4 linked regions of the Rhinolophus ferrumequinum genome follow. The protein of the gene in region 2 interacts with the protein of the main gene of each other region in a pairwise test. Links are inferred from orthologs where the notes say so. Each region holds a gene or a part of one and is shown on either strand. Other genes may lie near its edges. The genes, in order: CPSF6, NCK2, CHN1 and RASSF7.

What was found.
Region 1: the proteins of NCK2 (region 2) and CPSF6 interact in binary tests that used the Homo sapiens proteins (3 or more experiments, as listed by UniProt). The two-hybrid records come from large-scale screens. The link is inferred for Rhinolophus ferrumequinum from reciprocal best matches to the Homo sapiens genes NCK2 and CPSF6.
Region 3: the proteins of NCK2 (region 2) and CHN1 interact in binary tests that used the Homo sapiens proteins (3 or more experiments, as listed by UniProt). The two-hybrid records come from large-scale screens. The link is inferred for Rhinolophus ferrumequinum from reciprocal best matches to the Homo sapiens genes NCK2 and CHN1.
Region 4: the proteins of NCK2 (region 2) and RASSF7 interact in binary tests that used the Homo sapiens proteins (3 or more experiments, as listed by UniProt). The two-hybrid records come from large-scale screens. The link is inferred for Rhinolophus ferrumequinum from reciprocal best matches to the Homo sapiens genes NCK2 and RASSF7.

Annotation. Positions count from the first base shown.
Region 1 is NC_046293.1:65,272,757-65,280,160, forward strand, and holds the start of CPSF6 (cleavage and polyadenylation specificity factor subunit 6), read left to right. Parts: upstream 1-4,110; 5' UTR 4,111-4,234; coding exon 4,235-4,294; intron 4,295-7,404. UniProt on the Homo sapiens protein: Component of the cleavage factor Im (CFIm) complex that functions as an activator of the pre-mRNA 3'-end cleavage and polyadenylation processing required for the maturation of pre-mRNA into functional mRNAs.
Region 2 is NW_022680445.1:376,233-383,878, reverse strand, and holds the start of NCK2 (cytoplasmic protein NCK2), read right to left. Parts: upstream 3,289-7,646; 5' UTR 3,166-3,288; intron 2,086-3,165; exon of another isoform or gene 1,977-2,085; intron 1-1,976. UniProt on the Homo sapiens protein: Adapter protein which associates with tyrosine-phosphorylated growth factor receptors or their cellular substrates. Maintains low levels of EIF2S1 phosphorylation by promoting its dephosphorylation by PP1.
Region 3 is NC_046291.1:50,265,084-50,272,499, reverse strand, and holds the start of CHN1 (N-chimaerin), read right to left. Parts: upstream 3,446-7,416; 5' UTR 3,342-3,445; intron 3,213-3,341; 5' UTR 3,055-3,212; coding exon 3,036-3,054; intron 1-3,035. UniProt on the Homo sapiens protein: GTPase-activating protein for p21-rac and a phorbol ester receptor. Involved in the assembly of neuronal locomotor circuits as a direct effector of EPHA4 in axon guidance.
Region 4 is NC_046294.1:318,801-326,967, reverse strand, and holds RASSF7 (ras association domain-containing protein 7), read right to left. Parts: upstream 2,991-8,167; 5' UTR 2,864-2,990; coding exon 2,849-2,863; intron 2,711-2,848; coding exon 2,581-2,710; intron 2,399-2,580; coding exon 1,698-2,398; intron 1,577-1,697; coding exon 1,451-1,576; intron 1,376-1,450; coding exon 1,294-1,375; intron 1,216-1,293; coding exon 1,184-1,215; 3' UTR 726-1,183; downstream 1-725. Other genes in the region: LMNTD2 (lamin tail domain-containing protein 2), read left to right, coding at 4,860-5,058, 5,544-5,628, 5,724-5,876, 6,179-6,266, 6,353-6,508, 6,735-6,806, 6,893-6,981, 7,310-7,626 and 1 more. UniProt on the Homo sapiens protein: Negatively regulates stress-induced JNK activation and apoptosis by promoting MAP2K7 phosphorylation and inhibiting its ability to activate JNK.

The sequences.
Region 1 (7,404 bases), on a different chromosome or scaffold from region 2:
CCTTTGTCTACATGTTGTCATACCATAGGTGAAATGTGTTAGACAACCTTTGGGATGTCTGCTTAGCTCAAAGCAACCTTCTTTCATGGACAATTCTCCACCCTTTCCTAACTCACAGAGTAGAATTCTTAAGCCATGTTCTTAGTCTGTGACCCCTATCCCCTTCGACAAACTTCACTGGACTAGGAGTAGATTCCTATAAAAACTGAACTGATCAGTTGCTTACTCCTTAGATTTTTGCAATTGCAACCAAGACAGATGGCCATTTTCTTCAATGGTGGAGATCTGAACTCTGAAGTTGATGTTGCCATTGTCGCATAGCCACGTGCAAGGAAAGGCGAGTTCCTCTATACAGAGAAGTAGATGTACAGAGAAGCTTAGAAGGCCAGAAGCAGATATAGAGATAACCTTAGGACATTATTTACTTCTTTTCTAACCTCTCGACTACTCTTCTTAAATATTTTGATTTTATTATCGTTTATACCGTTTAGTGATGTCATTGTGGGAAGGGGTCCAGAGCCAAAGAATGTGAGAAAGACAAGAAAATGGACTCTCCTTTAGAGTCTCCAGAAAGAACGCAGCCCTGCGAACTCCTTGATGTTAGTCCAGTGAGATACATTTTGGACTTCTGACCTCCACAACTATAATAAATTTGTGTGGTTTCAAGCCACTAAATTCATTACAGCAGCAATAGGAAACTAATGCAGGTGGGCTAGAAGGAAGTTCTGCTGCAACAGTTAACATACCATTGTCGAATTCCTCCCAAGGCACTTTGGACTTTCAATTCTATGTAGGTTTGAATAATAGAATTTCAGAACTGAGAGGGACCTTCATGGACGACTTGAGGGAAAGGACTACTCTTAGGTTACTTGGCTAGTCAGTAGTAAAGCCAGGACAAGAACTCAAGTCTCCAATCTTTCATCTGCGTACATTAATAATGATAAGATGTCTAACGAAGACGTTGGTGCATGGAAGGTAGTCAATAAGTGGTGGAGTGTTTTGTTGTTATTATTATGCATTTTTGGTCATCTATAATGATATTTCATTTTTAAAACATCGTCAAGTAAGGAGGTACCCTGTGCTAAAGAACGAAAAATTCAGCTGAGTAAGTTTAGAGACCTACTTGGCTTTACTGAATGACTTATGAATTCCTCAGCATCCCATCTAGAAAAAAGAAAGGTGCTCCAGGAGCTGTATAAAATGGATGGCTTTTATATGTAGAAATGAGTGGGGGAGAAAACATTAAGAGTGAACTATTAAGGGCACCTCTTCTTAGCAGAAGGCAGGGGGTCTTATCAGATAGATTACCAAACTAGTGGTAACCAGGAAATTCCAGACTGATTGGTTTAAAATTTCACTCCTGAGAGAGGCTGAAACTGCAATGAAGTTAGGTATTATTAAGGCATGGTAGGGCTTACTACAAGTGACTCCATTTGGGGTCTGTTGTTTCTTTTTAACACCTGAAACAATATTTTAAAATTATCAAAAAGGTAACCAGGGAGCGAGTGAGGAATCACCTGGTCAAGAAGCAGAAGAGGATTGGGTCTATGCATTCAGAGTGCTTTTGCCCTGGGAGACATTTTTAGATTATTCAAACGATATGGTTGAGAGGTGGAGCTGCACTTTTGACATCTAGGGGAACAAAGTATAGAGTCTAGGACCTGCCAAGAGTGGTGACTCTGGTAAATCAGGTTTTGGGCTGGTCCTCAAAAGGACAGCACCTGGGAGGTAAAGGCAAGCCAAACTAAATTAGTTTCCTCAAGGTTCCCAATCATCTGGATGTGTTGGTGCCCCAAGGTACCTGCCAGAAGAAAATGAAAATCCTTTATTTAAAAAAAAACACAAAACCATCAGAAGTCTCACATTGTATCTTCAAGGGTTTCAATTAAAATGTCAAGCACACAAATATAGTCAGGTAAAAAGACAACACGAGTGAGAACCAGCATGAACACTATACAACAAATAACTAGAACAAAGAACCAACAACAGACCCAATGAGACTCCAGATACTGGAATTATCAGTGACCCAGATCGTATACCAATGATACCTGCTACATTCAAAGAGATAAAAGCCAAGATTGACAATTTTGGCAAAGAATTAGATGCTAACACCATAGGAGAGAAAATTAATAATATAGAAAATAGAAAAAAAAAATCTATTCAAAATGAAGCATACGGAGATAAAAGGATAAAAAAATAAAAAAGAGAAGGTAAGAGAAATAGTAAATAGTAAACAGAAAAGATATAACATTTAATTGGAGGCATAGAGGAAAGAAGAGAGATTGGGGCAGAAGCAATATCTGAAAAAGTAATGACTGAGAATTTTTCAGAACTCATGAAAGGCATCAATCAATGTATTCAGGAGGCCCAGTAAATCCCAAGCATTATAAATAAAGAGACATACACTTCCAAACATATATAATGAAAGAGCAGAACACCAAAGCCTGAGAGAAAAAAAATCTCAAAAAGCAGCCAGAGGGGATAAAACCCCCCTGATAACCTTCCAAGAAACAGCTACACTGACAGCTGACTTTTCACAGGTAACAACAGAAGTCGGAATCTGGAAATCAGTTTTAAGTACACTGAAAGAACATAAACTGCTTCTATCATCACATCTTCTCTGACTCTCTTGTTTTCTTTCACTTATAAGGATAATTGTGATTACTTTGGGCCCACCAGGAAAACAAGGATAATCTCATCTCAAGATCCTTAATCATATCCCAAAGTCCCTTTTGCAATGTAAGGTAACATATTCACAGGTTCTGGGGATTGGGATGTGGCCATCGATGATGGGCCATTATTGTGCCCACCACATTATCTCAAAACTGTCCCCATCTTTTATCATGAGTGGCTGTTCTACGAAGCCCCATGGAAAAAAGGAAATTAGTACAGTATTTCCAAGAAGCAAAAGAAGACAGGGCATTTTGCATACTACCTCATTTAAAACCACCATCAACCTTCAACCTTGACTAAACAAATATTATTACCCCTATTTTAAGGATTCTAAGGTTGAACATGAGAGAAATTAGGTAACTTGACGGAGGTTCACCCAGCTTGCAAAGAGTCTGACTAGAAATTTGTATCCAGATCACCAGATTGACGTCTATGACTCCACGCTTTTTCCTCCATACCAAGTACAGATATTGCTTGGTTCATCATTGTATGAATGATTTCTGGCCAGTTCATATCTTGGGAAACAGACTCTAATTTGGTGGGTTTTTAAATGAATGAAAAAGAAATTAAAATGGGGGGGGGGTCAGGTTTCAAACTGGAACGATATCTTTGAAGTATGGGTGGCAAGAGTTTTTTCTTTACTGAAAATGGTTAAATCACTTTGATTTTATTAAGGCCTTTTTTCCCTCTTCTGTAAAATGGGATGTTTAGACCTAGTAACACCTTGGTTCCCTTCTCACTGGGATATTTTGTGATTGTAAGAGAGAAACCTCTTGCCTCAAGGAGCCTGCCCCTTGTTGGGTGGGCTCTAAGCTGACTGCATTTAAATTAGAGGTATCTGAATTATTCCAAAGAAAACGAACGTCAGATCTAAGAAGGAAAAAATGAAGAACAATGAATTGGGGAAGAGGAGATGAAAGAAGATGACCTAAGACAGAGCCGGAAACATAAACAGCACGCAAATAACATAAGTCGCATGCAAATAACTCAAGCTAACCATCAACGGGTTTTCTGGCATTTACGAGGCAAATGAAACTCTGCTGGTCTCTGAGTAGGGATGCAGGGGTAAAGACCTTGTTCTCGCTCTCAAGGCGCTCGTAGAATGCGAATTTACACTTCGTATTTAATCGTGGACATGTAACTCCCACCTTTCTAGAAGCCCGAGCTGTGAGAAACAGTGGGAAGAGAAAATATTACCACACGCTTGCGTGTGCCTGGGGCAACGTGGAAACAGTCTCTGGAAACTGGGACGTCCCCCCGCCGCCCCCCCCCCGCCGCCCCCCCCCCCCGCGGCCCCGCTCTCGCCTGCAGGCCTAACCCAGACACACAAAAGAAACTGCCTCTACCCTCAGGGACGCAGTTTTTCTTCTGGGCCCGCCGCCTGGCGAGGTTGCACGGGAGACCGCTGCCCCAGGCAGCCCCCCTCCGCCCCCGCCTCAATCCCCCAGGCCTCGGAAGTGACGCAGCGCGCCCCGCCCCCGCCGCCAGATCCGCTGCTGCTGCCGCGGCGGGCGGACCTGCAGGAGGCGGCGGCGGCGGCAGCGGCCGAGGCCGAGGAAAAATGGCGGACGGTGTGGACCACATAGACATTTACGCGGATGTGGGTGAAGAGTTCAACCAGGTACGTGAGGGCCCCAGGCCTACGCCGCCGAAGCGGGCAGGGTTGCGGCCCGGACGCTGAGCCGGGCCAGTCGTGGGCTGCGAGCCGGCGCGGCTGCAGCCCGTGCGCCCTTGCCGCCCGTGGGCCGTGCCGCCCGGCTCCGGCGCGGCGTCCCTCTCGCCCCTCGTTCTACCGCGACGTTTCGCAGACCGAGGGCGGTGCGGCCAGCCGCGGGGGCCCAGAGCGCGGACGCGGGCCGCTGTGCAGCCGCCGTCGGCCCCTCCCTCGCCGCTACCTCGCCTCCCATTGTTAGCGGCGGCGGGCGGGCGGGCGCTTCCCGCCGCACTAGGCCCGGGCAGTGGGGCCGCGTGTGTGTGGCGGGGGTTCAGCACGGGTCGCTACCGCGCCCCCTCCCTTGCCGCCAGGTCGAGGAGCGAGCCCGGCGGGGCGCGCGCCGGCCCCCGCCTCTTCCCCGGCCTTGCCTGCCGCTCGGGCTCCGATTCCTGTCGTCGCTCCATTTTGTCTCCGTGTCCGCGCACGGTCGCCTCATGGAAGGCCGCATTCACCGCCCTTTGTATCCCGCGCGCCGGGTTTCCTGGGCCCTCCTGCTCGCGTTTGCGACAGGTTTCGGCGTGCCGCCTTTCTCCTCCTCTCCTCACACTTTCAGACGGCGGCTTGGATGTGGGCGCGTTTGCAACAAGTCCTTTGACTTTTGGACCCATGTAGATCCTTTAAAAGTCGGTGCGCTGGGTCCTGCCTCGATGGTAGAGGGCTGGCAGTGCCTTTGAGGCCCAGTCGTTCTTGGCCTTTCTGATGAAAATACCTGTGAAGATAGGTGGTCTGGGCAAAAGGAAGACTTAGAAGCGCGATGGTTGGATGGAACAGGAAAGATGGTAGCTCACCAAGAGATCAGTGGAGTGGTTAAAATAAAGAATGCCCACCTGAAATGCTTACGCTATAGTTTAAAAATAAAGGGATGTAGATGTGACCCGATTTTCAAAAGCAAAATGTTAGATACCCTCCAAGGGATCTGCTTTACATTTTGAAAGGGTGCAGAAAGTGAGAATGCAATGTTTTTCCGGTATCTCACAGGCCACCGTTGGCCTAGAACTAAGCCGCGGAGCTGTGATGTCTGATGTTGGGCATCCTTGCAAAAGATCTCGTACTAGAGCAGTGACGTTTAAGCTCTAAACCTGCTGTTCACATCTTTACTGTCTTTTATGTAGTAACACATTTTTAAAAATCAAATTGTGCCTAACTGCAGTGCACCTGAAAGCTTTATTTTTTGTATTTTCCAGGTCCGTATAAGAAACTTAATCAAATTCTACTGATTAATCTGTTTGTTTCTTCCTTTCCGTTAAGGATCTTATTTGTGACTAGGGGCTCAGGATGTGTTTTTTTTTTTTTAATTGCGCAAGCTAGTAATCCTTACCGCTCTTTTTTTCGGGAATGACTTTGTGCCCCTGGTTTAAATATTAGAAACAAATTTTCAGTTAGCTTAAATGTTTCCTACTCTGTTAGAGACTGAATATGTTTAAATGTAACCCAGTGTAATCAAAGGTTAAGCTTTAAAATTTTTGTTTTTATTGTGCTTATATTTTGAATATATGATGCCTTAATGGTGTCAGTGACAAATTAGAAAATTCTGGAGTGCTACAGTCAGATTCTAATGCTTTTAAGTCGGACATAGACTTTCAGGAATTTTTATTTATCAAATGAGTATAACATTTCATGCAAAAGAGGGCCATACCTCCATACCAAGTAAAGGAACAATTAAGTGTTCAAATCTCTTTTCATTAGATTTACTTGCAGGAATATACATTTGCTTTGCCTTTCTACCCACAATAAAGGAAAAATTGGTGTGCAATTTTAGAAGTTGAGCTTTCTTTAGGACCTCTCCATGAAATATATTTTAGGCTTTCATAAACTAAATTGGGGGTGGGCTTTTCTCTATTCCATATTGCTGTATGAAATGATACATGCTTATCTCTGTGCTGTAACTAGTGCTTATCTCTATGACTGAGCAGGAGGTAAGATGAGATTAGAATTTTGTGGCCCTAGTGAGGAATTTACTTCATATGGTTCTTTTTAAAATGTAACTTTGAAAAAAAAATTTATTTTCAATAAAAAAAATAAAATAACTTTTTGTTGACTTGTACCAATAGCATTATATCTCACACATAGTTGTATAATTTTACCAGTAAAATATTTGTACTTTTGGATAGATTAATGGGGGGATTAAATGGAAGCTTTGTTTTGTTATTTTGCATGTCATTGGCCTTTGTACTCTATTGCTTGCTGTAGCAATTCCTGTACAAAATATGGCCAAAACAAGGTTCATCCTGTTTTTTCAAATGTTACTATTATTCAAATAGTTTTCTGAATTTTCATCAGAATTAGAGGCAACTACAAAATTATTACTGATTAATTTGCACTCTATTAGCTGATGACCTTATTTGTATGTGTATAGTAAACATTCACTTTATTGTAGTTGAGTAAAATGTTTTACTAAGTATAACCAGTCTTGATTTACTTTAGCTTCTAAACTGCTGTAAACATTTAAAAAATTTTTTTGTTCTTTAATGTGAACTGCAGTTTTCATTGAATTTGTATACGTACTTTGAAATTCTCTGTAGAGTATGTATTTCCCATTTCTTCTATTTTAAATGGTCGTACTTTCATGAAGGTGTTTTTTGAGTGTGTATTTTGGGAAAGTACAGTATAAAGTGTAATGGAGACAGCTGGATAGCTCAGTTGGTTAGAGTGCCATGCTCTTAACAAGGTTGCCGGTTCGATCCCCACATGGGCCACTGTGAGCTGTGCCCTCCACAACTAGATTGAAACAACTACTTGACTTGGAGCTGATGGGTTCTGGAAAAAACACACTTAAAATAAATAAAAGTTTTTTTAAAAAAAGGTGTGAGACATTCAGCTGTCATAGAAGAAACTTTAATTTGGAGATGGGGTGAGAATAAGTTAATGAAACTATAATAAAGTTCCTTTCTTCACCAGAAGAACTTAAGAATGGGAATAAAGCTGAAGGGGAGAAAGCACATGGGACTGAGCTATTATTCTTTATGGGTGCTCTTTAGTTCTTTAATTGAAGGTCTTTGGATGTAACCAAATCGAGA
Region 2 (7,646 bases):
AGCGAAATATTCAGCAAACCCACCAGGTGGTTATGCAGTTGAGTTGTTTTGCTTTGCTTTTTGGTTTGTTTGTTTCTTTCTTTCTTTTTAAGTAACTCAACACGCTCAGAACTTCATATTCATGCATTCAATCAGTATTTGTTGGGTATCCACGTGTACAAGGTATGAACACAAAGAAACCACAGGATAGACTGTGATAAATGCCTGTGGGTAGGTGTGTGTTGGGGGTAGGGCTACAACTTGCTAACCTTCATAAGCATACATACTTGGGGATCCGTTCAAAGAGAAATGCAGAAAAAAACATCTAATTTTTTTAAATTGTGTTACCATAGTGGCCTAAAGAAATAGAAAAACTATTTTTACTTTAACTGCATACTTGTGATAACCCATTAAAAGGATGTGTTGACCTCCTTCTAAGTCGCCTTAGTTCGAGCATTTAACAACACACGACATGGTATCATTTTTAGCTGAGGCCCTTTGAAAACATGCCATGAAGGGTTTCCATCACTCATTTTAGTAAAGGAAACAATTTGGAAACCCCATCTGCAGTCCCTCCAGATGGGAAAACTAATTTCCCAAGCCTCTGGGGTGAGTTGTGGGGAGTTTCCAGTTAATTTATGAAAAAAAAAAAAAAAAAAAATTGTTAGCTTACTAGTTTTCCCAAACATTGTCCACTGCCCTCCCGTGCAGTTCCAGCAAGCAAGCAATCTTCAGCTTTTCAGTCAGTCAGCCTTATTTTTAAAGTCAGAGAATTGTGTCCACAAGCCCTCTCTCCCCAAGCGTATGCTGCAAGCCAGTTGGGGCAGTTAGAAGCGTGTGTGTCCCAGAAAGCGACACAGCCTCATCTTGCCAGGGCAAATTAAGCAATGCAAATGATCAAGTAAAGGATTCAGGCCATTTGGGCAATCGGGGAGTCTTTAGGGTACTTTAAAAGGTTATCCAGTTTGTGTACATACAAGGAAGTCTTCTGGTATATTTAATGTGGATGACAGGGCATTTCTCAAATACTGTGTACATAAGACCTGCTGCTTGCAGCAAAACCTCCATAACCCCCCCAACGCAAATGACAGAGGTTGGAAATGTGGCAGGCTCCAAGAGATCAGAGATAAAGAGGCTTTAAGCATGTTGCACGTAATAAAGCAGAACTCAAAGCCTGAAAACTGGGCACAGCTACTTGAAATGCACCTTTAACCAGCTCCGCCCATTTAAAAAGGGCCAGTTTCTCCACAAGTGGGCACAGGGGGTGATAGAGTAGTCAATTCTTCTGATGGCAATTTGCCACACTCAATTTTCTCTTTGTTCCATGATCAGTCCCGGTAAGTGTTTATGCCCAACCTGAGAAGCTCAGAGTCCAGGTGAAGCCTCCAGGAGAGGAAGCTGAGTCTAGCTCCTCCAGAAGCTTACCACAGTTTGAAGCTCTTAATTTCAGCCTCAAGAGATGCAGCCAGAAGACCACTAAGATCCGACTGCTTTCTTCAAACAAGACTACATCTAACCGACCTCGAGGAGAGAAATATTAAGGTAGGATTTTCCCTTGTGGTCACTGCTTCACTATCATGGTTAACACCCATTCTCGGGAAATCCCTGTTCCAAACACTAAAACAGCATCCCCGGCGGCCCCATCTCTGGGCTAAGTCATTTCTACTCTGTATCTCCACTGACTGCCATTCTCTTTATGTTACCACATGTGCTTGAATCCTGTTACTAATTTACCGGTTCACCTAGGAGCACTAGGTAAGTGAGTTAAGGGAGTGTTCAGAAGCAAAGTTTACATCTGCTCTGATAAGTTAAAGCAGCCCAGGTCAATTTCAATTTTCAGTTATTTTAAGACTTGAGAAGCACTGTTGCTAATGACATCAGACATCAAATGCCATGCAATGAAACACACCCTGAATTACTCTCATTCCGACCAAAATCCCTTCTGAGAAGAGGGGAGAAGCCAAGGCTGCGCCTGGACCAGGAAAGGCCTCCCCTACCTGTGCGCCCCGGTAAGCCACGCCCACGGGCCTCTCTGGCTTCAGTTTCCTTTTGGGTCAACGGAAGGAGTGGGCCTACGCGAAGGTTTAGGCTCCTGGGTCCCAGCCCTGGGGCCTGCTCACCCCATCGTGCAGACAGACACAAACTTGGCAGATTCAGCCTTAAACCTGTTGGCAAAATAAACAAAGCTAAATAAAGGGGGAAACTGCCAACCTGAACTGTCTGAAGCCACAAGGGCCGACTCCACACACGTTCGCGCTTTGTCCCTGAAACTGTTACAATGCTAGTTAACAGTGGGTTCTAGTTAAAGTTAGGTGCCTGATGTTCATTAGCCAATGACCCCTGGCATCTCGTGCAACCTTTCAAGGCGATCGTTATTGTCTACAAATTAAGCGTTTTGCAAGCTAAACCCCTCCACACAACGACATGCTACCAACGCTCACACAGGAGTTTACCGTCAATGCCTTAAAAGTCACACACGAAATTCTCCCAGAACCACTTGGTGGTTAAATCGCCCTGAATAAACCGAGAGGGCAGAGCGTGGTGAGAAACTTTGTTTCAGGTGGCTGTAAGAGTCCTGTAAATCTGGGGCAGGACGCACAGGCTGAGACCCGGCACAAAGCGCCCTTCGCCCAGGCGAGGACCTCCTTTATGCGATGTGACAGCAGCTTTGTGCGGGATCATAAATAGTTCCAATAAACACAGTAAGTTCTCCCCGCCGCGCTCCGCCTCCCGCGTCCCGGCGCAGAGGCCAGGCAATCAGCGGCTATTCTTCCCCGGGACTCCCGCCCCGGCCACCCCGGCCACCACACAGTCCCACGCCGGCCCCCGGTTCCGGGCCCGTCGCCGGCCCGCAGGCCGGGCGCTCCTCGCGCGCCAGAGGGTCTCCAGTCCCGGGAACCCACCGCCCAGGCCCCTGCCCCCGCCCGCGCCCTTGGCGCCCCCACCCCAGTGCCGGCGTCCGGAGGATGGGAGCCGGCAGGGGGAAGGTGCGGAGTCCGGCGCTGCCGGCAGTGCGGGACCACCGGGCCAGGCCGCGGCGGGGCCGAGGGCACCGGTGGGGCGCGGAGGGGACCGGTCCCCCGGCCCCTTCCCGGGCGCGCCCTGACCCGCGAGCCCGCTGCGCTCCAACTCTGCGGAGCCGCCCAAGTTTGCGGCCCCCGCCCCGAGGCCGCCGGCCGCGCTTACCTTGCCGCCAGCCGCCCGCCGAGGCCGGAGGGCAGCGGCGCGGGTCCCGGGGCGGCGGCCGCGCCCGCCCAGGCGCCGCTCTTTGTCTGCGCCGCTCCCTCCTCCCGCCGCTCGGCGGACGCTGCCGGCCCGGCCGGACCCCGCCGGCCCGGGCCCCGCGAGCCTCCCGCCGCCAAGCCTCCCCGCCGCCCGCCGCTCGCTGGGCCGCGCGGCTCCGGCCTGACGATCCCCGCGGCGGCGGCGGCGGCGGCGGCGGCGGCGGTGGCGACGACCCCTCCCCCGGCGCGCGGCGCCCGCCCCTCCGCGCTCCTCCCCTCCTCCCGCCGCTCCTCCCAGCCGCGCGGTGACACCGCCCAAGGGCCGGCCTCGCCCGCGCACAGGCGGGAGCCAGACCCACCTGGGGACGCGCGGGCAGCTTGTGGGCCCGCGCGCGGCCGGACTGAGAACGGCACCGGGACAGGACCGCGCTCGGGGACGCATAGCGCGCGGGGCGCGTGGCCGGCTGGCTACCAGGAGACCTTTGGACGCACCGCGGGGTGGGGGCCGAGGAAAGGAAAGGGTCCCTTCTCCTAAAACGGCTCGCTCGGGGGTGGGGGCAGAAGTGGGGTGAGGGAACAAGAGAGGAAATAAAGGCAGCAACTTCCAGCCTCCGATGACCAGTGGGTGGTCTTTCCATCCTCTTTTTGTTTGTTTGATTTTCTTATCACGATGCCCCCCTCCCGGAAGCATTCCCACGCCTCTCTACGCAAAGCAGTCCTGTTGTCCATCAGAAAAGTGACTTCCATAAAAATGTCACTTCCTCTCTGTAATTGCTTGTGGGCATTTTTATTTATTTGCCTTGTATCTATTTACTTTCCCAACCAGACACTTTTTTACTCCATCATTTGTGTCGGAAGCACTTCTGAAGAGGAGAGGAAACTCAATCTCTGCTGCCTCCCTTCCAGTGTCTGGCTCAAGCATACCCATGGGTCAGATTCCTGTAAGGAGCTGAGGGAATGTGGGCTCCAAAAGGTAGTGGGACTGGTCGGGTCACCTGGCCACACGTAGTGGATTACCTATACACAAACGTGGGAGATTCAACCCAAGAGGAAGGGAACAGACACAAGGTTCCCTTTCACAGGCACATGCATCCAGATGTCTGTTCCCCCAATCTCCTTCCCATATGGCTTCCCAAAAGGAAACACTACTATTCAAATAACTCTGATTTCCTGGCAGAGTAGCCAGGATCCATACTAATGAGATTCTTTCTTAGGCTCCTGGCTTCTCATTATTATTAAGGCAATACCAATTTACCCAAGGTGGCATCACAGTATCATTTGAATCCCTCATCCCCTGCCTTGTGCCCAAAAGGAAGTACCAGAAGAGGGTAAGTAGAGCCAGTATGACTTTGAAGTCACCGTTTAGTGTTTGACTATCTGCTTCTTCAACTGTGGAACCTTGCACAAGTGTTTCTTAACCTATCTAAAATCTACTAAATGGGGAGATAACACTGGCCTTGCTCCCATGTAAGTCCCTGGCACACTCCCTGGCAGCAGGGCGCATTCCACTGGCCACTAGAGAGAAGGAGGTGCATTGTGAGCAGGGATGGGCCCAAGATCAGGGAACAGGGACAACCTCCTTCTCCGTTTGACCTTGGGAAAGAAGCTGCCTCAGTTCATCCTTTTGGGAAAACCTTTCTCATGCTGATAAGGAAAACAGAAGGATATCAGTGGTCTGACCCAATTTTAAATTAGTTTACTCAAAATAAGTATAACAACATTGACCCAGTTTTTAACTTGTCTCCTTTGTAAACTTTCATTGAATCATGGGTCTTGAACTCCTCTTCCTTTTCTGATTCTTTGTGAAGTCACCAAAGACATTCTCTATCTAAACCCCTATGCCCCTTTCTCAATCTTTATCCTATGAAGTTTTCTGAAGCACAGGGCATTTGTGCTATTTCCTAAAACTTGGTTATCTTTCCATTTATCTACCTTTCTGACCCACCCAGCTCTGTCCAGTTACAAGACATGTTTTCCTCCCAACCTCTAACAGTAATACCCCAAAGCAGACTTTGGCCCTTTGTTTTTATTCTGATGTACGCCTTCTTTTTAAAAGAGAGTTGATCATTTTTTGTATGCTTCCAGTCTGGATGTCTCCGGCTCCCAGGTCTGTTGCCAGCTTATCTACAGCCCGTCTGCGTGGCTCATCATCTCTTCAAGCTCATCACACTCAGAATGAAACACATCTCCTTCCCAAACTAGCTCCTCCTTCCACGGTCTCCGGCTTGGCCAAGAATCCACCAGGCTTCTCAGCTCCCAGGTGAAACCTCATTTCCATTCTCTTCTTCCGTCCCTCTCTCCAAGCACTCCCCAAGGTCAGTGAGGAGAGGGCTCTAGCTGACCTTGGGATCTCTCTCAATCTCAATTCTTATGGTTCCGAGTCCTGGTGATTCTTAAACATCTCTTTGCATCTTTCTTCCCATCTCCAATGTCACCTCCTAATTTTTACATGATTACTAACAATACTTACAATCTGTTTTGAATACATATATCAGCTCTAACTCACACACAATAAATAGTATTATCCTCACTTTACACATGAAAAAAACTGAAACGGTAAGTGAAGGAGCTGGAATTAGAACTGCACGTACTCCAGAACTCCTGTTCTTTCCACTACACCCACTACCTTCCACCTGGTCTCCTATCAGTCACTTCCTCCCTTCCCCCACATTTATACTGGATGTCAATGTCATCCTAAAAATTGCTTCTATCTTGCCCCTCCACTGTTCAAGAACTTCCCATGGCTCCCTATTGCCCACCTAGTTTCTCAAAAGTTTCCTGACAGCACAGGGCTTGAGCTTGTGCTCCGAGGAAGGCCGAGGAATTGAGCGCCAGGAGGCCTGTGTTCTTTACCTGGGGCTGCTTTAACAAATTACCTCCAACTGGGTGGCTTAAAAAAGAGAAATGTATTCCCTAGGAGTTCTAGAGACCAGAGTCTGAAATCACACTCTCTCTGCAGGCTCCAGGGGAGGATCCTTCCTTGCCTTTTTCAGCTTCTGGTGGCGCCAGGTGTTCCTTGGCTCATGGCAACATCCCTCCAATCTCTGCCTCTGTCTTCATCTGTCCTGGTCCCCTGTGTGTCCTCTCACCCCTTCTGTCTTCCTATAAGGACACTTATCATTGGATGTAGGGCCCACTCAAACCCAGGATGATCTCATCTCCAGACTCTTCCTTGTAACGTCGACAAAGACCCTTTTTCCAAATAAGGTTGAATTCACATGTTCCAGGTGAGCACATCTTTTGGGGCCACCATTCAACCCACTACAAGACCAGCATGGGTAGACATTTCTTTGAAGATGATGTTTGATCTGAAAATGTGTATGTTTATGCATCCTCTTCCCTTACTATGCCCATGTTTGTTTTACTAGTAAAATGTCTCCAATAATGAAGTATTGAAAGTACAAAAAATATAAACCTTTCCCCCCAAGTCACATCCGCGTTAAATCCTGAGATTTATCTCCCAGGGCTTCTCAAACTTAGTCCTTCTATAACCATCTCTTGGTTTACCCTGCCCCAATATAAGTTACTTGCTTGGGTCACTGTGCAACCCCTACTGTATGTGCCCCACTTGGTCACACTGATTTCCTCCTCCAACTGTGCAGACACAGCAAGGGATTCCCTGTGCCCCTCTCTTCCTTCAGTTCCATTCAAGCCGCCCTCACCTCTCCTTGGACTCACGGGAAGCCCAAGGTGAGGCTGAAGGCACTGTGTCAGCCATTCTTGAGAGGCCCGCAGCCTACATGTATGCGAATCTGGATCACTTAACCTCTCTGGGCCTGGGATAGCGAAGTACAGAGTTGTGAGGATTAAATGAGACAATGTAAACATGTCTCGACTGCGTGTTTAACACATGGTAAACACTCCCATCAGCTGTTTCCTGGCCTTCGATCTTAACCCTCAATTCAATTGAACATATTGAGTATATTTCTATTTGTAAAGCATAAGAATCAATTCAGGAGAAACAAAGATAACCTGAGTTGTAATCTCAGAGGAAGGATAAGACTAGTATATAAATGAGTACAATATAAAGCTAAATATGAAAAGTACCAAACAGAACATGTTCGGAGAAGCAGAAGTAGCTTTAGGTTTTAAGTGGTGGCGTTAGAAATGGACTTTGAAAGTTGCTGACACGGTGGGAAGCTGCTGTGATTTGGCTGGGCCATACCAGCCCCCTTCCTGGTTTGGGGAGACCTTTTGTTTGACCTTGGCAGGAGGCAGGCAGAATGGGTCCTCCATCTCTCTACTCTCAGAAGTCCTATGAAAGTGAACGGCCTGGGACTGGCCAGTAGAACCCTCCCAGTCAGGACTTTGAAACTGGAGAGGGTGGCAAAAAGGAGGGAGGATGAGGTTTGGTTTGCTCTTGCTGGAAGGGCCCTAGCGCTTTCCCACAGAGGTCATTAACATGCTTGGTTCTCCCCACTTCTCCCACCTTTTCCAGCCCCC
Region 3 (7,416 bases), on a different chromosome or scaffold from region 2:
GAAAAAATGTAAATGTATATATTTAAATGTAGTAATTTTAGAGGCTCTCATTTTTAAAAATGAAGCTAACTTTCACTAATTTCCTATAAAAAGAACACTCTTTACAATTATTAAAAAAACCTGGATGGAAATATAATACACAAATTAAAAAAAACTAGACTCTAGTGCTGGCTGCTATGCACTGAATTGTGTCCCCCCACAAATTCATATGTTGAGGCCCTAACCACCAACATAATAGTATTTCAAGATGGGACCTCTGGGAAGAGGTTAGGTTTGGATGGGGTCATGCGGGTGGGTCCTCATGGTGGTATTAGTGCCCTTATAAGAGACCAGAGAGCTTGCTTTCCGTTTCTCCCTAACATGTGTGGACACAGCTGGATGTCTGCAAGCCAGGAATCATCTCAAGATACCTTGGTCCCCACTTCCCAGCCTCCAAAACTGTGAGAAACAAATGTCTGCTGTGTGAGCCACCCAGTGTATGGTATTTTACTATCGCACCCAAGCAGACTTAAGACGATCGCCTAACCAACTAGCACACGCAAGATACACAAGGTAGAGTCCTGGCATGGGTTACTTTGGGAAGGCTTAGGTAGAAATCTATTGAGATCTGACTTTGATGAGTGGTAAGTTCCTTTTGTCTAGTTTCCTGTTCCTATCTTGTCTTCACCACCTCTCTCTCAGTCCCATCTCACAGAAGTTTAATTATCTCATTGCTCCTGTGTTCTAAATTGGTTATTAAGAGTAAATATAAAGGTGCTGAGTGTGAAGCAGAGAAAGAATTAATTTTTTTAAAAAGAGTAAAAATAAAGGGATAGTAGGTACTCCTGACTAAGACCAACTAGTTATATACTAGTAATTTCTAAAATAAAATCCATTTCTTCTAACCCTTGAAGACTGCTCTTAACATATACAAAAGCTATTTAAAATTGGACAAGTATGAGGACAAGTAGTATTTATCTTTAATACAGTGGTTCTCAAATTTGAGTGTGCATAAGAATCGCAGGGGAGTCCCTTGAAAATCCCCTTTCCCCAGAAAGGCATATGCTGTAGGTCTCTGGGCAAAGGAATCAACATTTTTAACAGACATCTCAGTGACTAATGAGTGGAATGCAACCACATTTTTGAGAGCAGCTGCTGCTCTATCATTACTGAAAAAATAGCCTCTACACACAGGTGTACTTTGCTTTATAACGGAGAAATGTTCTTAAAAATTGTTAACCAAATTTGATTTTGTAAACTAAATTCTATTTTCCCACAACTTTGAAATTTTAAAGATAATTTATTCATTCTGAGGGGTGGGAGTGGTTTCTCATACCTTCTTCTAAAGGTAAATTCCATGTTCTTCCTTTCCTCATCTCCACTTCAGGAGTTAAAGATTTAACAATTTCAGAATCCTTTTAAGAGTCTTGTCACACACTCCACTTCTCCCCAGTTTATCTGTTTTATTCATCAAGAATGTCAGTATTCTAAAAGTGGTTAATTTGTAAATGTACCTTTGAAAACAAACCTTGAAAATGCAGACTGTCTCTTTAGGAAGGACAATGATTTAGTCAGAAATAGTTTTAAAGAGAAATTGACTTCTGGAAATCTTACTGCTATGTATTAGCTACAATAGTGTAAGATAAAAGCTTCAATAAAAGAAAATATCAACTATGAGTAAAGCCTTTCATCATTTCTAACTTTTGTACAAAAAAAGTCCACAGTTAAGGAAAATTAGTCTACTACCTAAGTAATGCAGATTAGATACAGTGTACTGAAAAACACAGTGAGATTTTTACTACTTTCAGAGAAAAAAGAAACATGTTTTAAAACACCTCTGGAGAATCAACACTAAATAAGAAATGTCATTTCTAGTACTGTGGGTATTTGGGCAAAATAAACACAGCCCCAGACTGAAGACTGGCAAATTGTGTTCTAAGCTCAGTTTTGCTACAAAAGGGTCATGTGACCTTGGTAAATAACCTCTCTGGGTCTAAATTTAATTTATAAAATAAGATGGCTAAATAAAAGTAACTTTGATTCCAAGAGATTATTAATTCACTCTTAAGTATTTACATCAAAAAGCATTTGTGGTAGGTGATGCCTATAACTGATCAAATGACATTAAAACGTAACTGGAAACTTGATACTTTAATTTACTAAGACTGTCCTTGTAAGCTATCAGTTACATATCATTGTACATATCATTGTACTTTGTTTCTTTGAAAAATTGTATACTTTGAACATCTAAATTTTCACATGCTGTATGTATTGAATTTTCTTAAAGCAAGGTACATATGTACTATAATCTGTTTCTGTAAAAGGAAAGAATGTATCTTTTCAGTCCTTTCCAATCCATTGTCATTGCTGACTCCAGGGAAAAAAAAACAAAACCTTGAAGTCTTAACCACTGAAACAATAGTGTTGCAGTAATTACATCACAGAAATAACATTTCTTTCCTGAAATGCTGAAATATATTCTCCTGAGATTACTTACTTCCAGTAACCAACTTTCTTCTGCTCTCATATTCGTTAGGGCAAACATGTTCTATTTTAACAAATACTAAGTTCACCACTTATTCTAGTTTACAAAGGAAAAGACCGAGTCCAAAAAACTGCCCCCAATTCCAACAAGAATCAACACATGCATTTGGCAATTCCAGGGAGGGTGGGATGCACAGATACCTTGTCCAAAATAAATAAACTTTCCAGGATCTTTATTTACCGACTTGACAATCGTAGGTTTGGAAACAACCAGCTAACTTCGCTCCCAAGTTGGCATCTTAGAGAATCCTCGGTTTACAAAACACCCAGGACCTCAGAGCCTCCCATCCCAGAATTGGCCAAGGGAGCACACGCCCATCAGCGCTGCCTGGAGAGGAAACAATGGGAGAGGCGCGAGGGAGCGAGCCCGGGGCCCCCGGGGCCCCAAGTCCACGGCCCCAGCCCGCGCGCCACAGCGCGCGCGGCGTCCCCTCCCCGGGCGCCCCACGCCCCCGCCCCGAGCTCCGGGGCGCGGCCCACCTGCGACCGCGCGGGCAAAGGGCTGCACTTACCAAACAGGGTCAGGGCCATTGTACAGGCGCTCGCCAGCTGCTCGCCGCCGCCGCCAGTCCACGCGCTCCGCCCAGGCCCACCCGAGATCACGGCATCGGCCCGCCGCGCTCACCTCGGAGGGGCGTGGTGGGAACGCCGGCGCGCGGGGAGGCTGCAGGCCGGGATGCCGGGGGCCGCTGCAAGAAAAAGTTATGTACGCGTTAGTGTCGGGCGCACCGGGCCGGGGGAGACCCGCTAGCCCTCGGCGAGCCGGCACTTGTCGCTGCCATCGGGGCACGACGCGGAGCGCGCGCGGGCGGCGGTACCTGCCAGGCGGGGAGGCTTGGCTGAGGCGCAGTGGCGGGCGGAGAGGCGGCGCCGCAGTGGCGGCGGCGGCGGCGGCGGGGGGAGAGGAGCAGCCTCGCAGAGCCCCCGGCGGGGCGCGCTCACTCCGCATCCCGCGGCCTCGCCGACGCCATCTTGCGATAGTGTCTCCTGCTGGATCGGCCGCGGCGCCTGCCCCTCGGGCGGGCGAGCTGAGTGCGTTCCCATGGCAACGGGCGCGCGCGAGGGCCGGGGGCGCGCGCCCCGCCAGCCGGGGTCCGGGAGGAGTGTCCCCCGCCCCGCGGCAGGCGGCCTCCTGGAGCCCGGCGGGGGCGGGGGCGGTGTGCCTTTTCGCTGAAAGCCCAGGGTTTTTTTTGTTTTTTTTTTTGAATGGCATTGGAGAAGGCGCAGAGAGGAGAAACACGGAGCTGCTACTTGACAGAGGAAGAGAGTCACGCGTGAAGGCTCCATGAATACAAGGACCCCACCAGGGTCATCTGGGGATCGGGTTCGTTTGAGGATATGTCTGTCACTCCCTTGGCGCCCTTGGGGTTAAAAGGAGAGTCTGGAGCCTGTGACCTGAAGCTACGTGACTCAGGAAGGGAGCCTGAAGTCGGACGGAGGGAGGCACTGCATGTTGCTTTCCATTCCATTTGGACTTTAAGAGCCGCAAGGAGTAATTCTGATCAGATTGTCATGTGTGAGGGAACAGGAGTCGGTTAAAAAGCACCTGGGATTTACTTAAATTCTTACAAGGTCAATGTTTAAACCTAATTTTCTTCCTTTTACTTTACACCGCTTTGATATTGTCTCAGGGAAAACCAACATTCCTCACTGATTGGCACTTCTCCTTTACCACAAAAGATTGCTCCCCTGAGCTTTTTGCATTTATCTGAGAATCACTGGCAACATCCTTCTTTCTGTGATGTTCTCTGCTGGCCTCTGTCTCTGCCTTAATTAACAAGAAGCTATGTAACGCCTTGAGATTATCAGTCAAAAGATGTTCTTGAAAAGCTTACGATTTTTTTTGTCGTTTGCATTTAATGTATTCAAAAATTCAGTGTTCTCTCATTGCTGTATTTGTTCCCTGTTTTAAAAATTCCTCCTTGTTTCTTGTGTCTCTGCTTATGGATTTGATACTGTATCAGCATCTAACCTTGAGATTTTTCTCTTTGGTTCTCATTTCTTCCTACCTGCATCTTTCCTCTTTCAGTTCCTCAGATTCCCTAATGTCATTTTCCCCTTCTAATTTTCAATTAATTCTGTTAAGGATATTATATAAATAGGTTGTATTTAATTTATCTTGAGCATCAAAATCATTATAAAAATGAAAATTACTACTTCAAATAGAACCACAGTTAATTCATCATCATTTCACAGCTGACTCAAACATCAGAAAGAAAAAGAAAACCGAGTTAGAAGGAGGAGTCAAGCCTTTTGTTTCACGTCAGTTAACTCAAGAAAAAAGACAGTAAAATAATTCAATATGAATGGGCAAATGTTTAAGATGCTATAGGCTTGAAATTTTCTGATGTAGTAAAATGGCTCTCCTTTGGCCAATAATATCAAAATAAATCCTGAAATTCCCCAGAATTTTCAATCTTTAACGAAAAGGACTCGATTTTTTAATAGCTTTACTGCTCATGAAAAATTACAAATGCACAGCTCATGAAAATAAATGAGAAACTCCACAAGGCTTTGTGGGACAGATTTTATAACTATATAAAGACTGCTGCTGATTTGACTACAACCAGATAAATCAGAAACTGAAGACACCATTTACTGTCTCAACCAGTGGTCTTCAATCAAAGAAGGGTGAAGAAACCTAAGTTCCCTTCCAGGCTCTAATGAAAATACTGTCCCTCTTCCTGGAAAAATGTTTATGTGCATGTAGACTCACCCAAATTTGTTCACACTATTTCAGGGGGATTATGGACTATTCCAGGATCCAAGGATAGCCCCCAAATACCCTTTATAATCTCAGAAAGTTTTGCCTTTATAATTAACGCTTTTAAAAATTCCCCCTTTCACATAAATACATGGAATTTTCAAGAAGGGACCAAACTACGCCAATTTACAGATTAGGAAACTGAGGGCTCAGCAGTCAAAAGATTTTTCCCAAATGTGTCCATCTATTTAGTGGCAGAACTAACAGGAAAATCTTAGGCCATCTGTTGTCCTCCCTGACCACTTCCCCCACCTTCCATCCCCCGCCAATTTAAAGAGTATGTGGTTTAAATTTAAAAAGAAAAATCTGTTTAGTATCAGAAGCAGAGTAGCAAGGGGTGGGAGCGGGGTATTTTGTTCTGAGCCATTTTGTATATTTGGGTCTTGTAGTTTGGGAAGTTGAATTTTGTTTCAAGGAGTCTTGATTCACAGGCTCCTCTACTCAGAACGATGTGTCCAATCAGGCTAGGAGAGGAAAGGTGCTTCTCTTTGTTCAGCTCTGTTAGAGAGGTACCAGAGCATCAAAGTGTTGGTGTTACACCTCAGCTTGCTGGTAATTCTCTCTGTCCCTTGGGGGTTATCCTTGGGGGGAGGGGGGTCAGAGGGAAATTAATAGTCCTGTGCTCATCCTCACACCTCCATCATAAAGCCAAGCTTTGGTTACTGGAGCAGCTTTGCACTCACTAGTTGTGGCTGATCACAATTGAATCCTAGTTATAGACTCAGCTTCAGTTCAGGTGGGGACCTTCTTCCCTTCCCCTTCCTCTTTTCCGTACAAGTCTCAGCACTCCCATACCCAAACAGACAAGCTCATCCCTAGAGATGTTTTTAGGATACTATTTGAAACAATACAGCTGAAATGTTGCCATGTTTCCCTTTTTAAGCATCTAGCTTTCCACAAGTAATTCCTTCCAATTGATTTCCTAATGTTTTGATGACCTAACAAAATGCTTTCTATACTTGATTAAAGTGCTATGTCTTGAAAATCTTATTAGTTTTTATAACACTGTATCATCCAATGAGAAATAGAGTGTGTTTCTTTTCACACTTAGCTGGAAATAAAGCAATAGCCTTTCCGCTACAGATTCAATGTAAGGAAGGGCGTTAACCACTTGGGGGTGATTATTATGGGTGGTGCCTTAGATTGTTTATTAAAAAGGGCAAAGAATTTATTGATTTTTCAAAACATTTATGGTTTCATTCAAAGATTTAATTTTGTGCCTGACACGCAAGCATCTAGAAGAGCTAGGTTTGTTTGCTCTGTTACTAACTAGTTGTTAAATTTTTAGGCAAATGTTTTACTTTTTCTGGTTATCCTCCTCCTTTATAAAATGAAGGGATAGGACTAAGTTATTTCTAATGTCTCTTAAGTTTAGCTGTCATTCTTAGATGTTTTAAAATATTTCAATTAACTGAATTATGGGTAAAACAAGACATTTTTATTTGACTATTCAATATATTTAAAGTGCTGGTAAATCTTGGAAGTCTGAGAGACATAAGTTACAGTTTCATAAATACCTAGTGTAACAAGGAAGTCAAATTTTATTAAAACATTGTTACTGCGATTTCATCTGCAGTATTTATACTAACATATTTATTATATAAAAAGCAATCCCTTTAAAAAGGATTGCTTTTTATATAATAAGGATTAAAATGTAAAGTATGCACTGAACAATCCATTTCAAATTTATTAAAATGGTTTCTCGTTTTTATTTAAGTTTTGTTGACCAAACAGAATTTAAATAAGCCTTAATTTTTTTCTACATTTTGACTTAGCAACTTATCACAAGTGTTTTGGGGTTTTTTTGTGTTAGTCATTTAGCTTCGTTCCCATTGGTAAATATTGATTTGTTCCTCAGTTTTGAATGAAGTAGAAATTAATGAGGCATTTTCTGCCTCGCAATAACAAGTTAAAATTATAGCACTTCATCATGCCAACACAGCTTTAAACACTAGGAATACCAGTGCTATTAGCACAGTTCCCAAAATAGGGCATAAGTTTGCTGTTGAAGAAAAAAATTAGAGAGCATTTCTGCTAATGTCATAAAAACATTTTCTATTCCTCTGCTATGCTGATTAAGACTTAAATTATTTATTAAAAATATTCACAGTGTGACATTCTCTCTATCC
Region 4 (8,167 bases), on a different chromosome or scaffold from region 2:
AGGCTGACTCCATCCCAAGGATGCCTACCCCAAAACAGCACAAAGACCCCCTATGATCTGTCATGTCCCCGTTCCGTCTCTCAATACCACCCATTGCTGCACCCAAGGCTTAGAGATCCCCCACAAATTCCAATCATAGCCACAGCCCTCGGGGCGGGGAGGCTGGGAGCCTGCAGCCTGGCCAAGGTCAGGACGGATTTGGACACCTGCCCTGATTCCAAGGCTGCAGCCACGCAGCAGAGGCTTCCCACCCACCTGGGGAGCAGAGTGGCAGCCACACCCTCGCAGGGCCCACAAAGCTCCCTGGGCCCGCCCACGAGCTCACAGACTCAGTCAACCTGACAGGCAAGTCTGGTGTGTCCTCGAGTCCTCACGTCCAGGAGCCACCCCAGAGTGGGCGGCAGTTGTGCTGCTGGTGAGCAGGCCAGTGGGGGAGGCATCCAGAAACCTAAGCCAGGGCTGAAGCTTCTTCAGGCCCCAGACCACCCATGTCCAGCGGCAGGTCAGGCTGTGGAGGAGAGCCCCTGAGGGTGGGTGGGCATAACAGCCTGAAACGTGAGGCCCTGGGAGCACCAGTCTTGGATCTGACTGGCCACTGACCCTGGGAGAGCCCCTTTTCAGGAGCCCTGGCTGTGGCCAGCCCTGGGCAGCTCAGATACTCCCCAGGCACCCTGAGTGGAGTCTCAAGGGCTAGACCCCACAGACCCTGCCCAGTGTGGCCTCAGGACAGTCAAATCACTGTCGGCAGTTTATTGAGGTTCGAGTGTCGCGGTGGGGGAGGCAGCATGCACACATGTGGTGAAGAAATCTCCCACGTGAGCACATCCCCACAGACTGAACACAGTGTCCACGACTCTGCCATCCCCAAAAGGAACCGTGGCCTTTGGGGCCTCGCAAGTTCTGAGCTGGCCATGCCCCAAGCTTCTCCAGGGGGTGTGGCAGAGTTGGCAAGGATTAAGGCGAGAGTCCCCAGCCTCCCCCTGTCTCCTGCAGCAGAAACCTCAGGGATCCGAGGTCTCGGGCCCAGGGCATGAGGGCTTCCAGTTGCATGGGGGAAGGAGTCCTCTACGACCACCGACTCTTCTTCTCTTGTCCAGGCTGGGCTGGCCTCAGCTGTCATCGCTCATGTCATCAGAGCCCAGGGGTGGGCTGGCACTGGGCATTTCCTCTGGGGCAGAAGCTGCTACCTCCAGGAGTTCTGCCTTATGGGGACAACTGTGGAAAAGACACAGGCTGAGAGGCTGAGGAGTCACAGGAGGACCTCCTCCCACCCCGGGGGGGAGACAGACATACCCTCTGGGCTCAGACTGGACAGTAGGGCAGGACTCCGGGGGGCTCCCAGGAGGGGCTTTTCACTGGTTGGAGGCAGAAGATCCTATGGGGAGAGCAGGTCAGTGTGGAGCTGTGTGCGGGTGCCCCACGGGCTCGGCTTCCCTCCAGAACCACTGACCTGTGTGCCAGGAGCCCTGTCTGGCTGTGGGGTCAGTGGCAGTGCAGCCCCCGTCTGCTGGATGAACTGCTGCAGGTTACACTGACGCAGCTCCCGGTTCAGCTCCTCAAGCTCCTGGGCCTGGGCCTGGAGCACATGGGACCGCAGCAGGCACAGTCATGGAGCTCCAGGCCTGGTGCTCTCCCTTGTGTGATCAGAAGCTAACCCCCCAGTGCCCCGAGTCAGGGCTGAGATCCCGTGAGCTCACCTGCAGGGCGTGCTCCGCAGCCTCCAGAGCCCTGCTCACCAGGGCCAAGCTGCCCTGCAGCTCCGCACTCTGCCGCTCCTGGGCAGCCAGGTCCTGGCGCAGGCGCTCCACGGCCGATGCTGTGGGCGATGGGGGTCCAGGGGCCTCTGCGGCCAGGAGCAGCTTGGCCTCCAGGGTGCGGGCCTTGGCGTCCAGGGCCTGCAGCCGGGCAGCATGCTCGGCTGTGGCTGCGCTCAGCGCCTGCAGGCGTGCCTGCCCCTCACGCTCCCGCGCCTGCTCCCTCCGCAGCTCCTGCCCCCAGAAGGCCTCCTGGCCCAGCTCCGCAGCGTTCCTCTGTACCCTCCGCTCCAGGCCCTGCAGGTCTGCCCAGCAGCCTGGCACGGGGGCCACTGGGGCCACAGGCTCGGGCAGCACAGGGCTGGAGCCCAGGTTGATGAAGGTCAGTGCTTCGTGGGGCTCACGGCTCAGTGCCAGTCGCGGCTTCGGGGGGAGGCTGGCACGGATTGGGCAGCGCTCAGGGGGTGGGCAGCTGTCTGAGGAGGGCCTTCCAGCGAGGCTGGGCCCTGTCCGCCTCAGGACAAACTGGACATCACTGGCAAACTGTCCACAGGTAGCCTGGGCACCCACTGGACACTCCTGGGGCTGCAGCTGCCGCTCCTTCTCCCTGAGACGCTGCACCAGTACAAAGCGGCCCGTCTGGCCTGGGGTGGGGGAGAGGGGTCAGCCTACATCCCCCCACCCAGTCCACTGGGATTCAGGTATTGGGGAAGAGCAAGAGGGATCAGCAACCGGTCCCACCCTCCTTGGGAGAAGACGGGGGCCAGAGGGCCAGGCCCTACCCCAGGTCCACCTGTTGGGCCTGTCTGTCCCTGAGGGGACTCACCTATAGCTTGGGCTAGTGCGATGACCACTTCCTGACAGGTGGTCTGCTCCGAGACTCCACACACCACGCGCTGGACGCCGTCCACCCACACCTTCAGCTCCATGGCCGCAGGTCCTGAGAGCATCCCTGACTGCAGGCGAAGGCCAAAGGGTCAAGCCCTGCCTAGCGCCACCACAGCCTGGTACTCGTCTCCTGCTCTTCCAGGCCTGCCCCTCACCCCCAGAACTGGATCAGGGCAGCCGCCCTGCTCTTCGGTGCCTAGCCCTACCCGCGGGCCACGCATTCCTGGGGTGGGGGTAGTCAAGACCAGCCCCCCTCCAAAGGGGGAACCAGCCGCCCTCCCGGAGCACTCGGGAGCTTTCCCACTCCGTAGCTCCTCTCGCCCCGCCCCACTCCCGGAACAAGGCGAATCATTAACCAGATGCAGGACTTCCTGCCCCTCCAGTCACCTGGCGCGGAGGGCACTGCCCCTCCCGCGGGGTGCCGTCCCCAGGCACCCAAAGGCGGCGGCACGTGAACTCGGCACCCCGCTGCCATAGGAACGCACCCTCCCCCGCGACTCAGACCTCGGCGGTCCGGACCCACCGAGCCTGGCGCAGGCAGCCCCTTCCCACTCCCGCCGATCGCTGCGCTCGCCCCGGAGGCCGCCAACCCCGCCGCGGGGCGGGTGCAGGTGCGGAGCGGTCCCCACGGGAGAAGTTGCCGCCCAGGTCGGCTCCGCACTTAGCAAGCTCCGCGTCTCAGCGCAGCTCACCTGGTCTCCCGCTGGCCTCCGGGATCTGGACTCGAACCGGCTCCTTTAGAGCGCCCGGCGCGGTCGCAACCTGCCTCCTGCCGCGCAGCGGGAGCGCCCCGGCCCGCCACTCCATTGGCCCGCAGCCCGTGCGCCCAGCCCTATGCGCCTCCATTGGTTCCTCGGTGCGCCCCGCCCGCCCGCGCCCACGTTCATTGGCCACTTTTTATGTGCCCGCCCCTCCCCTCCCCATTGGCTTCCCGCCCGCCCCGCCCCCGGCGGCGCCCAGGTGTGGGCGGGGCTTGGCGGCTCCGAGTGGCGGGTGGAGTCCGGGTCCACTCCCGCCCGGACTCCGGGTCCACTCACGCCGGAAGCCCGCGAACCACGCGGAAGCGCGTCCCAGCCGGCAGCTCGCGGGCAGGTGTCTGGCCCCATTCCCTGGCCCACTTCCTCGGAAGCCGCCCATTCTGATGAGTCTCCTGTCTAGGGAGGGGACGCTGGCCTGGGACCCCGAAAGCCCGCCAGAGCCCAGAGGGCCCCCTGCCTGATGGGCCCCTCCGACCCCGCTCCCTCAGGGCCCGCGGCGGCCGTCGTCGGGACACACAGGGCTCGGGGGGTGGGGCTGTGAGCCCCCCAGGAGGGGAGGTGGAGCTGGTGGGCCGCTGTCCCTCTCTGGCTGCAATCAGGTTGACAGCCTTTGTGGGGCAGGGGGCCCGCCCCAAGATTGCCGGGGACAAAGATCCTGGGCTCCTTGTGTGAAGTTCCTTCCCCCAACCCTTTCCTGTCCCCAGTGGGGCCCAGTGTCCTCCTGAGCTGTGGACACGCTCCTCTGCTTGGCCAGCCCTGCTGTCCCATGGGAGAGCCTCAGCAAGCTCACCGGCTGTGGCCCCTCAGTCTCAATGTTCTGGACGGCACTGAGAGCCTGTTTGCCACGGTCAGGCCGGCCTGTGGGGGGTCTTCCCGGCCTGCCCCTGTCCTGCCCCCATCTTGCCCAGCACAGGAGGCCCCACAGGAACAGAAATTGAAAGTCTGAATAAAGGAATGATGAATGAATGAATGTGAGGTGGGGGGCAAAGGCTGGAGGGCACTTGTGGTTAGGTCTGGGGCCTCAATTTTGCTTCAGGGTAGAGGGAACAGTTGTCATGGTTATGGGTATGTCCCCAGGGCACCCTGCGGAGGTCCGGGTGGTGGAGATGGACAGGGGAAGGCGAGGTTTCTGGCGTGAGCGTCAGCGCAGAGGCTGTGGATGAGCAGAGGCTGTGGAAGGCACTCCGGTGGGAGTTAAGAGTTCTGCAGGCCCCTCCCCCAGCTCCCCAGGGCTGTCCACTGCTTCCTCTTCAGCTCATCAGCCTGGCCCACTGAGACCTGCACTCTTAGGTCCTGCTGGCTCGTGGACACACAGAGCAGCAATGCACACAATCAATCGCCATGGTCAGGCTGGGGAGGGACCTTGGGAGCCTCCCTCAGGGTTGGTTCGGGGTGTTGGGCTGAGCGCTGACCATGGCAGGCCCTGCTGGCCACTCTGTGGTCCCCAGGGCCTGTGGAGATGAGTTGGGCAGCAGCTCAGCTTCTCACAGCTTCTACTTCAGGCTGGACCAGCCCCCAGGAGGAGGAGGTGGGCCCTGGTCTGGGGTCTCCCCAGAGGCTCCTGGTAACAAACAGCCCCTCCCCTTCTGGGTGCTGGTATCCATGGCAACGCCATAGAGCCTTTCTCTCCCCAGGCCTGCCTGGATTTCAAGCTTCAGGTGAGTGCTGGGGGTAGGGCTCTGGGTCTGGGGGGACATGGGTGTGGAGGGTAAAGGACCAGCACCTCTGGGGACCCCTGCTGTAGGCTGGGGCAGGACCTCAGGTCCCAGAGGGCAAGGGTGAGATGGAGGAGACCACAGGGAATGTAGAGAGCCAGGGACATGTTGCCTGGGGGTGTAACCTGCTGCCCTGGCCTGGTCAGAAACACACAGGTGTGGTCACCCACATGACCAGCAGTCTGGTGTCCTATGGGGTTGAAACACACACCCACACCCACACCCCACCAAACACACACGGGCCTCCATGGAAGGAGAGCCCCGCAGAGGTACCCAGGACGCAGGCAGACAGCCCCACCACCCCTCAGCTCTTCCAAGAACATCAAGAATGGCCCCCAAGTCTTGCCAAAAGGCTGGAGAAGCCAAGGAAGGTGTTCTCTCGTCCCTGGTGGACAGGGAGCCAGTCAGTGTCCATCTGGGGCCTCCAGCTGGCACACCTGCAGACCTGGTGACTCCCACATACCTGAAGGACACCAAGCCAAGCTCCACACCAGCAGTCTCCATCAACCTGCAGTAAGGAGGGGATGGAGGGGCGGTCGGTCGGCCACTTGAGCCAGGCCAGCCAGAGGGCAGGGCCTGATCAGGCAGCTGGGCTGCGGGCATTGCAGGCTGTCCCCTGAGGGCCTGGACCCCCACACCCTGCGGCTGCTGTGGAGGCAGCGGGAGCTGGAGATCCAGGCCCTGCGGTGTGCCCTCCAGAACTGCCGGGATGCCCGGCATGGCCACATCCTGCAGGAGGTGGCTGGACTTCCACTCGAGAGGTCAGCAGAGAAACACTAGTCCCCCAGCCCTGGCCTGACCCCAACCCCAACAACTGATCCTGACCCTTACCCTGACCTTTGCCTCTAGGCCTAGTCCTTACCTGACCCTAATCCCCAACCTTAACTGTGAAAAAGTTGATACACTGTAAACCTGCCCAGACCATAACCCTGAATGTGGGTGCTGAATTCCACCCAGACCTCTCAGAGCCTGACCAGGCCTGGCCAGACCTGGCCCAGCCACACTCTATGCCCTCCTTGGCTGCTGACCCAGAGGTGGGGGGCGCTATCACCCCTTCTCCCAGGAGCTCTTGTGGTCAGGAAAAGCTCCTGCAGATCCAGGTCCAGAAGCTGACTGTGGAGCTAAAGGAACAGAAGAAACAGGCCCAGCTGGTGAGGCCTCAGGAAGCTGGGCCAGGGTTGGTCTTGGGGGCGGGGTCTGAGAAGGCCCCACCCACCTTTGGACCCCACTGGAGCAGGAGAAGGAGCATTTGGAGAAGCAGTTGCTGCAAACCAGCACCGTGCTCCAGCAGCGGGAGGCTGAGCTGCAGGCCCTGCACAAGTCTTGCCTCCTGCATCTGGCTCGCTCTTCCTGGCTGGGCCGTATGCTGCGGTCGTCTACTGGCAGCGTGGAGGTGAGCCTGTGCACCGGGTCCATGCTGCTCACCCACGTCCCCTTCCCAGACCTCCTTGGACTTCCCTGATAGCCAGGGTGCCTGGGACAGGGAGGATGGAGCCCCTGGCCCTGCCCACCTGGAACTTAGCCATTGTGTGCCTCAGGTCCAAGGGAAGGGGTGACTTGCAGGGAGTGGTGCCCTTCTCCCAGGCCCTGCCCACTGGCCTCCGGGCCCCCTCTTGCAGGTGGTGACTGCAGAGACCCTAATGGACCTCAGTGACCTATCTGAGAGTGATGAGGTTTCCTCTGCTTGGGAGGTGAGCAATGTCCCCCACATTCATTCGTGGCTCTGCAGGCATGCAGGGGGCGGGGGGCACATGCCTGTTGCGTGCGTCCCGGCCAGGGTTTCCGGCTGGAGGATGTGGACTGGAACAGCATCGCCCATCGATACCCCAATCTCTTGACTGACATCAAGTTGACCTTGGATCACAGGTAACTGGGCTGGACAGGGACACCCTCAGGGGCCCCAGGAGGGGGGGCTTGCCTTGGCCGATGTGGACCAGAGTCCAAGTTCCACCCTTAGTATCCCTGGACAAGTCACTTGAACTTTGCAAGTGTCAGTGTTCTGATCTGTAGAACAGGGATGCAGGGAAAGGCTCCTGGGCTCTCTGTGTCCTGCCATGAGCCCTTTCCCGGGCCGGGTCCTAGAGACTGGGACCACAAGTTGGGGTGCTCTGCCAGCCTTGGGAAAACTGGATGGGGGCAGGGCTGGGGTCCAGGAGTGAAGCCAAGAGGCCAATGAGCAAATGGTGGCCCACAGGAACCCTGGGCCATGGCTGCCCCCAGAACTCCCACCAGCCTCACCACCGGACGACCAGGGCTCAGAGCTGTGCACACAACACATGGAGCGGCATCTCAAGAATGTGGAGTGGAGCTCTCTGCCCTTGGGGGGCACCAGCAGCTTGGGGGACACCAGCAGCTCGGGGGGCGCCGACTCTGACTCTAGCAACCCCCAGCGGGACATGAGGTTTCCAGTGCATGTGACAAGGCACCCGCCCTGGGCACCAGGACATGCTTCTGAGCAGACAGAGTCGCAGGCCAGGAGCTTCCACAGGGGCTCACAGGCAGAGCCTGCAGGTGGGGTGGGGCAAACTCCCCTGGCTCCTTCCTTCTGTCCTGCAGGGCTGTGATCTCTGCCCAAAGCCCTAAACGGGGTCAGCAACCTCTAGGCCTTCTCTGTACCCACAAAGAGGTTGTGGCGGGGGGGCTCTCTGGTCTCATCTCCAGGGATTAGGGTGCTCTTGGAGCCCTCCGTGCTCTGGTTCAACCTTCCCCCCAAAAAAGTACTTTGAACTATGCCTCTGCACCCCTCAGCCCCTGGGGCCAGCCACCCCTCCTGCCCTGAATCTGACCCCCCTGCTGCTCCTCTCCCACGTGGACCCTCAGGGCGCTGCAGGCCAGCTGGCCTCACAGATGTCCCCAGTGGGTGCTCCATATGGGGGTCCCTCTCACGGACAGGCCTCCTCTCCCTGGATCTCCCGGAAACCCACTCAGAGGGCCTGGGCAAGACCGTCCTGGTGCCCAGGTTCTGTGCAACTCCAGACCACCGGCAGCCTGGGCACCGATGGAGGTGAGGGAGTGCGGCAGCCCCCCAGAGCAGGGCCAGGAGCTGGTCTCC